Drosophila melanogaster: one gene and its partner. The protein of the gene in region 2 interacts with the protein of the main gene of each other region in a pairwise test. Each region holds a gene or a part of one and is shown on either strand. Other genes may lie near its edges. The genes, in order: GCC88 and Rab19.

Region 1 (4,869 bases), on a different chromosome or scaffold from region 2:
GCCCTGCCTGTGCACAAGCTCCAACTCGTAGATGGCAAGTGGCAGGAGGTGCTCATCGATGTGGCATCCTCTGATGGCGCACAAGAAGCTAGCTTCCGATATGTGCTCTCACGTAGCCAAACACCCGTTTCGAGTCTTTATCGACCGCTGCCCGGCGAGACACGATCCTGTTTGGAGCACTCCCTGGAGACGGAACGACAGGTGGGACTGCTCGCCGAGCGCATCGAACGGGATGGCGGCATCGCTCTAATCATGGATTATGGCCATTTTGGCGAGAAAACCGACACTTTCCGGGCCTTCAAGCAGCACAAGCTGCACGATCCGCTGGTGGAGCCGGGCAGTGCTGATCTCACGGCCGATGTGGACTTCAAGCTAGTGCGGCACATTGCCGAGACACGCGGAAATGTCCACTGCTGCGGTCCCGTGGAGCAGGGACTGTTCCTGCAGCGAATGCAGGGTGAGGCTCGACTGGAGCAACTGTTGGCACATGCGCTGCCCGAAAACCAGGAGATCATTCGCTCCGGCTACGAGATGCTCACGGATCCAGCCCAGATGGGCACTCGCTTTAAGTTCCTGGCCATGTTTCCCGGCGTGCTAGCTGCCCACCTAGACAAATACCCAGTCGTCGGATTTAGTTAGTTATCTATTTAGGATCTGTTTGTAGGGTTTTAAATATGTTGCACATGATTGTTGAACAAAAGTACGAATGTTATTTCTTCTGGAATGATGCATTGATCGCCTGCATCTCTGCGGCGGTGAACTGGAGCACCGCCGAGATGGCGTTCAGCATGTGACGCTTGCCGTCCGCGTCCCGGGTAACAATGTAGCTGATAATAACGTTCTTCAGGTACTCCAGATTGGCACCCTCGCGCGTCTTGCAACGTTCGAGTCTAGAATGGGAGTAGAGATCGTGGCATGACTTTCTAAGACAACAACGATAACAACGACAACGACGCACCTGTCCACCTGCTCCTTGAGGCACTCGATCTTCTCGTGCATTTCCTGCTGAGATGTCACCTTGTCCTGGATCGCCTTTCGCAGCGTCGACTCGGCGGCGTATTTGGCTTTCCGCAGTGTCGTGATTTCGATGTCCTTGCGCGCCAACTCGTTGGCATAGTGCAGCATGTGGCAGTTCTCGCCCATCGACATTTTCTTGGAGCGCACCTTTAGCTTTCTTTCCCGCTGCTCCCCCTCCACGCTGTCGGTGTCGGAGGAATAGTGAAAGGAATCGGCAGCTGCTTCAAGTGTGGGTGTGGCCAGTGTGCTGCCCACACCGCTGGCCGAGTGAAAGACCTCGAAGGAGGTCTGCAGTGTCTTAATCTCCTGCTCCTTCTCATCCAGCAGCTGCAGTGACCTCTGGCGCTGCTTCTGCAGTAGCTGTTCCAGCTCGTTCAGTTTGCAGCGCGTCTCGTTCTCCAGTTCAGCCTTGGCTTCCTGCCACTTGGTTCGTTCGTTCTTCAATGCCAGGCGCAGCTTTTCGCCCTGCTGCTTTAGTTCGACTTCCGCCTCGTCGATGTTGCGATTGAGCACCTGCACCTTCTCCTGCAGCGTTTGGATGTGCGAGTGCTGCAGCTGCACCTTCTGTTCGAGTAGCTGTCGCTGCTGCTTGGATGCCTCGAGCATTTGCTGCACACCCTGAAGCTGTTGCTCGCAGTGGGCGTGACTCTCGACTCGGGTAGCTGTTTGGCCGCTAAATGATAGGATCTCCCCGAGATCCAGTGGATTGGCAGAACGGGCATTGGCTGTGGTAAGCAGTTTCTTCAAGCGCACCATCTCGTCAACCAGCGTGGCTACGTCCACATCTTCGTTTAGCGCCCTTGAATTGGATGTTGGACGCACATGTGCCTGCTCTAGATCCTGCAGCTGCTGCTTCAAATCATGGATGCTGTCCTGATCTTGCTGACGCAGGCGGTCGTAGCTGCCGACAGTGGTGCTGAGCTCCGCCAGGCGTGCCTCTAGACTGGCCACGCGATCCTCGTGCAGCGCCGCCTGCCTGCGACTCTGTTCCTCGGCACGCAGCACGCGACGCTGTTCCTGACGAATGGCCACTGCATGCTGCTCCTTCAGTTGCTGCATCTCAAGGCGCACTTGCTGAAGGAGAGCGGCGCTGTCCGCACTCGCTGACGCTGCTGCAGAGTGCTCGGTCTTGGCCTGGAACTGTTTCAGCTGGGAGCGAGCCTCCTTTAGCTGGGATTGCAATTCCCGTAGCCGGCTATTCTCTGCCTCGTTGCTGGCGAACTGGGTCTTGAAGTTGTTTAACTGCATCTCAATGTTGTCCTTTAGATGCCGCTCGTCCGCATAGAGTTTCTGCAGTTCGCGGATCATGAGCATTTGGTTGTTGGTCTCTTTCTCGCGCTCCTGTCGCTCCACGATCCACTTGGCCTTGATCTCGTCCACGTCGCTTTTGGCCCGAGCAGCCTGCTCCTTGGCCCGGGTATTAAGCTCCTGAATGGTCTGCTCCTTTTGGGCGATTTGGCTGCGCAGTTGCTTTTTATCCGCCTGAAAGGAGGCCTCCATGCGGGATTTCTCAGCGGAAAGAGTGGCCAGCGAGTTCATCAGGGTGATAATTTGGGTCTGCAGTTGACCCTCGGCCGGGGGAGCAGGCGGACCCGGTGCAGCGCCCTCGGTTGCTCCATCCGCAGAGTCGGTGCTGGTTTTTTTGGACTCCAACTCCCTGGCCGGCGATCCGGACTCGCCCACCGCCGTGGCCTCCGCATGCGCCGCCAGACTCGTCTCCAATGCCTCCTTCTCCTTAAGCAGACCCTTGTAGGCAGTGACCACGTCTACAAATTGGGCTCATTAATCCATTTGCATTGCGAATTCATCTATGTCTCACCTTTTAGACGCTTTTCATAGCGCCCCAGTTGCTCCTTTTGGGTGGACACCAGCGCCTCCAGCTCCCTCTGTCGCTTCTCCATTTCGCCTTGAAAGGGAATTAGTTCATTTACTTTCAGTTCGCTTAGTAGTTCAATTTATTTATCTCCCGTGTCATTTTTGCATTTCTTTTAATTAACAAATTTCAGCAGCTGGCACGCGGGCCTGCCAACTTGTCATGTTTGCTCAGGCACTAAAAATTGCCATCATTCTGATTTAAACTTTTTTTTATTTTTGCGGTTTTTCAAAAAATAATTAATAACCAAATTTACATAAATTAAAAACTATTTTAAATGTAAATGTATTATAAATCAGCTGCATAGTTGCTAAATTGAGATATTTTCAAACATTAATATTAGTCCAATTAAAGTAAATTAAATGTTGAGCCTAACTAAATCTTATTTCATTCGCCCTCCTCGTCCTTCATCATCTGCTCAATGAGTCTCTTACGTTCCTCAGCTTGGCGCAGCTTTCGCATGACCAGGTCCTCGTAGTCGGTGGATGACGCACTGCACCCAGTGGTGGCCGATTTGGTTGTCTGCTTGTCTGCCGCCGGCGGCGTTACCCACTCGAAGTGCAGCGGCTTGGCGGGATCGCCTTTTTCGTAGGCCAAGACCATGTCGCAGGCTTCGCGCGTGGCCAGCTCCACCATGGCGCGTCCGCGTCGCTTGCTGTTGACCACCAGGGCCACCACGTCGCCGTACTTCTTCAGATACTTGAGCAGCTCTTGCTGTGTGTAATCCTGGCCAGGTTCGGCCTTCCACTTCATCTTGATGCGATGCTGGGCGGAATCAAACTGGACCGGCTGTTGCTGCAGTTTCTGTTGCTCCGCGTGATTCCGCCGGAACTGCTCCTGCATGGCTCGCTGCTCCTCCTCCAGCAGACGGGAGCCCTCGCGTCGCAACCGCTCGATCTGCTCATGCAGCACCTCCTCGTCGCTTTTGGCCACCGTGCTGTAGGGTTGGCTCTTCGCCAGTTTGTGCAGTGCCGCCCGTTCACGTTCCTCCAGTTCCAGCTTCAGCTTCTGCCGCTTCCCGTCCAGTTGGCGACTCCTCAGCTCCGCCGCCTTCTTGGCCTTCAGCACTTTGTCATAAGCTGCGCGCGCGGATTCATCCGTGAGGATCTCCAGAGCCTTGGACAACTCATGGAAGCGCTCGACTGCCTTCGGATTGTCCGGATTCTTGTCGGGATGGCACTCGAGGGCCTTCTTGCGGTACGCCTTGCGTATCTCATTTTGATCAGACTCGAGAGAAATGCCCAGAAGATCGTAAAGATTCACGTCACTGTACTTTTTGCTAGCCATTTAGTCTTATTTTACTCCTTATTCAACAACTGGAACATGGGTTTGTTTTGCAGTTTGTCTTTTTTGGGCAAAAGTTAGCTAAAATATACTATTTTATACGAGACTTATTTCACAACTGCAGCCGGCGGTCCAAAAATGTCCAAATAAAACATTTGCAATTGTTTACTGGATCAGCTGTTCGCTGCAACGAGTTGGCAGCCCCGCAACACAACGTGCCCATTTGTTTGGCGTGGATTAATCTAAGTTATCGCAAAAAAAACTCAAATATAATATGACCTTTAGGCGCTGAATTAAGCTGAAGGTACGTCATGAGCATCTATCACGACGAGGTGGAGATCGAGGACTTCGAGTACGACGAGGAGGAGGAGATGTACTACTATCCCTGTCCATGCGGCGATCGATTTCAGATCTCCAAGGTAACGAGTCGTATACGCAACCTTTTTTTTTCTGGACTCCCCATATCACTTGGTAAATTTCCACTTTAGGAGGAGCTAATCGAGGGCGAGGAGGTGGCCACCTGTCCCAGCTGCTCCCTAGTCATCAAGGTCATATACGATCCGGTAAGTGACTCATTCAGAAATACACCTAGAACTCCCCAGAAAACTCAAGCAATCTGATTTTCCGAATTTCAGGAGATGTTCAAAGCTGAGGAGGATGAAGAAAGTGCGCTGAACGAGAAGCTCGGCGACCTG
Region 2 (3,987 bases):
CGTGTCCTAATTTCCGCTGGAAAATCCTCCTTCCTCTTTCCACAAAGTTCAATGCTAGAGATCAAGCGTATGTTATTCTACTAGGCAGCGATGTCAGCACGTTTTTCACTTTTTAAACGGCGCTTGGCAATCCTTGTGGTCGAAGGAAAAGCGCTTCTCAAACCCTCAATGGATTTTACGACTTTGGTTTTCGATTTTTTTTTTTTCGGGACACGATCCGACGACCGCGCGCGCAAACGTTTGAAATTCAACTGAAACGGCCAGCGGTCGAGGCGAACGATAAAAAGCAACGACGAACGGGCCAAACTTCAATGCAAAAGTGAGGCCGAGAATTCCGGGGCCTTTCAGGCGGCATCCAGGGGGAAGTAGTCGGGCAGAAGCTACCCGCCAGCCAAAACGGCAAACCAGTCAGCCAGGCCAGCAAAAAAAATTCGTTTGATCTGGTCTTTGTGTTTCTGAGGAGCTGCTCTGTGTGAAGTTGCAAATTCGCTGTTTGATTTCCTTTTGCTAGCGACGAAAATCTCAACATGCGGGGGAATGAAACTCTTCGCTGGGAGATGGGAGTAGGTCTAGCCTCGAGCATTTTCCAGCATTCCTGTGACTCATCGCCATCGTGAGGGCTATCCTGACTCGGAACTAGGTTGCGGTTGCAGCTCCAGGGAGCAGTCAATTAATTTCTCTTCAAAGTGTAACAAGAAAAAGTGCGGCAGATATATATGTAAATACACAAAAATACTAATATTGTAACTTTGTTCTATAGAATATAACCATTATAAGTATAAACTTACATACTAACAATTTTGGATTTCTTAATATCTTTAAATATAAAGATTAAACCACGAGAACACAATTGTTATAATGCTAATTTCTGAGATCAATCAGTTTTAGATATATTCTCCATGCTTTCCGACACTTAAGGATCGGTATAACCATTAGAAATGCGACTGATGATAGCCAGAGCTAAAGACCCTGTTTTTTGCCTGTGTGGACGATGTTCATCAGCATGGGGCTAATCGTGGGACAAGTTCTCGGCCAGACTTTGGCCCCCAGATCGGCAGTTAAACTTTCCACGCGAAATGGATGCGACAGTGCGTGTGCGCAGGCGCATCAGGCATGCGGTTTCCAATTCGTTTGGCAATCGAAGCAGTTGGTCAGCTTATTTGCATTCGGTGAGATACATAGAACATGTTTCCCAGCCGCTTCCGCTGCGGTTTGAAAGTGAGTCTCGTTTCGCTGCCTAGAGATAGAAGTTGATATGTGGGTCAAGGTCTGCATTTTGCGTACATTATTTTCATGGGGAAAACCCGAGGAATTTCTTCGAAACACATCGTAAATATTTACAGACCCATAAAGCCAGCTCTTTAGCGTCAAATGGCGCCATCATCAATGTACGTGGTGAAAATTTATTGGAGTCCCATGCGTTATCAGAAAGCCTGACCTACGTGATCGCCGCATTAATCGGGGCAAGTACCTCAATTCACATGGACTTACACGCAAGAGGGCTTTCCATTTGTGAGTCAATTAAATAAATTGTCAACATATTTAGTGCTTTATTGCGTAATGATAAAATCAGCCCAATAGATTTCCCTTGCTAATCCATCAGTGAGAGTTGGCATTTGCGATTTGGAAAATTGTGTAAATTCGTTTTGTCCAAATTTAAAAAGAGAAAATCCAATATAATAAAATAAAATTGTTTATTTACATTCCTTGGCCACTATTTTATTATAGATAACAATAATGAACTTTAATTTAACAATTCTAAAAAAGTAGAGTATGTGTAACTTGAACGAAATACAACGTAGCCATCCAAATATAGTGCAAATTAAATAAATCGTAATATTTTAAATCAGTAAAACATTTGAAAATACGCTTTCGATTTTATTTGGTGATGAGAAAACCTAACGGTCGATGTCACATGTAAAATGGAATATCGATATATGAGCTTCGCAGTATATATAGCAAGCTAAACAGAATAATATAAACTAAAATTAGTACATATAAATTAGTCAAATAAAAACCTGTAAGTAAAAGTATAGTATTATTTTACCCCTATATCGATAGGTCAACTATCGACTGCCAACAGCTGATATTGCGTATCAATAAAATTAGTTTTGCTTCACTTTGTTGTCATTGGAAAAGCAGGGCAGCAGGCAAAAGAGACCAGTTAACGGCCAGAACGGCGGCCAAAAGATGACCGCCCGCAATCCTCAGACACTGATGGCACTGCCAAACGAGGAACACTTCGACTTCCTGTTCAAGATCGTCCTCATTGGTGACTGCGGGACGGGGAAGACCTGCATAGTGGACAGATTTAAGACAGGGAACTACATAGAGCGACATGGGAACACCATCGGAGTGGACTTTTCGATGAAGACCATCGCCGTGGAGGGCAAACAAATCAAGGTGCATAACGGATTTGCCCAGATCCCGCCACTAATATGACTCATATTCTGCCCCTCTTCCAGCTACAAATCTGGGACACTGCTGGTCAGGAGAGGTTTCGCACTATTACGCAGAGCTATTATCGCTCGGCCAACGGGGTCTTAATTGGTGAGTCCCAGTATGGGTATCTTTTGTTTCGTCGGGCATAGGCATACGCCCATCCATTTGTCATGCCAAATAGGTACTACTGATAACCAGAGAACGCTTTAAAGTGATTGCCTGGCACTGATTTGAATAGCGAAGCGCCTTATCAGCGGGGTGTTTGTTTACCCTACTTGAATACCATGTGTTTCCTCCTGACAGTTTACGACATCACCAAGCGGTCTTCCTTTTCCAATCTGCAAAAATGGATCGAAGAAGTGCGTAGATACACTGCTTCTAATGTTTTGATAATCCTCGTGGGCAACAAGTGCGATTTGGAGGAGCAGCGCGAGGTGGACTTTGAAGAGGCGCGCCAGATGTGTCAATATATACCTGAGATCCTGTTCGTGATGGAGACCTCCGCCAAGGAGAACATGAACGTGGAGGACGCCTTCCGCTGCCTGGCCAACGAACTTAAAGTACGATTCCGGCTATTGTTACCTAAGCTAATGATGTTCCAATTACAGCGCCAACACGATGCCAACAATGTGGAGGAGGTGCCAGAAAACACCATCACCTTGGGCCAGGGAAAGCCTTTAAAGAGTTGCAGCAGCTCATGCAATCTCACCTAGACCTAAATCCGCTCTTTAGTTTGCTTTTACTTTTGTGATCAAATTGTTCTTGTGGCTATATATTAGTATTCTAATGCTTTAACCTAATCCTAGACACTAACTTTTACACAACCATGTATTTATTTTTGACGATAGAGTACAAACAATCTCACACATCAGCGAATCGAGCCAACAATGTCAATTACAAGGCAATGCTCAGAGAGGCAAATACGTCCACTTCTCTATTTGTAATTTGTATTCAATTTGATATGCGACAGTGTCGAAATAAACTCGTTTATTTTGTAATTTTATTGGAAGTATCGTAGTTAAATTGGCTTAGCTCCTAGACATTATCCATATACACGTAGATTTAAATCATCGAGGGACTCCTGTTCGGACGTATTTTACACTAAATAAAATTGGCTTGGCAACAACTTTTCAAACAATTTGGAAACGCTTAAAAATTGTTTATATCAAAATTGGTTTACTTTCTCTAGACAGCTAGTCGTTAATGATTAATTAGCTAATATGTAGCATGTGTGGCGGGTCATTTGTTCTTGATGCGCTGCACGATCCACTCTAATCCTTGATAGAGTCCTTCGCCGGTGAGCGCACAGCAGGCCTGGATGTGCCATTGGTGCTTCTTGATGGAGGTGAGGTCCAGTTGTCGTGAGATTTCCGCCGCCGACATAGAGCCCTTGAGATCCTGCTTATTGGCATAGACCAGCAAACTGGCCTTGCTCAGATCCTCATGTTGCAGCATCCGGTAGAGCTCTTCCCGCGTAACAGCTAACCGTTCCCGGTCCGTGGAGTCGATGACCATGATCACCAGCTCTGTGTTCGTGTAGTAGGT

What was found.
Region 1: the proteins of Rab19 (region 2) and GCC88 interact in a two-hybrid assay, tested with the Drosophila melanogaster proteins (one study listed by BioGRID).

Annotation. Positions count from the first base shown.
Region 1 is NT_033777.3:11,227,532-11,232,400, forward strand, and holds GCC88 (GRIP and coiled-coil domain containing 88 kDa), read right to left. Parts: upstream 3,070-4,869; 5' UTR 2,919-3,069; coding exon 2,837-2,918; intron 2,784-2,836; coding exon 959-2,783; intron 891-958; coding exon 710-890; 3' UTR 640-709; downstream 1-639. Other genes in the region: CG17726 (uncharacterized protein), read left to right, coding at 1-639; CG17187 (uncharacterized protein), read right to left, coding at 3,278-4,177; Dph3 (diphthamide biosynthesis 3), read left to right, coding at 4,486-4,593, 4,663-4,737, 4,810-4,869.
Region 2 is NT_037436.4:8,295,070-8,299,056, forward strand, and holds Rab19 (Rab19), read left to right. Parts: upstream 1-1,948; 5' UTR 1,949-2,020; intron 2,021-2,099; exon of another isoform or gene 2,100-2,142; 5' UTR 2,143-2,190; coding exon 2,191-2,403; intron 2,404-2,465; coding exon 2,466-2,550; intron 2,551-2,745; coding exon 2,746-3,002; intron 3,003-3,050; coding exon 3,051-3,155; 3' UTR 3,156-3,437; downstream 3,438-3,987. Other genes in the region: Arl5 (ADP-ribosylation factor-like 5), read right to left, coding at 3,682-3,987.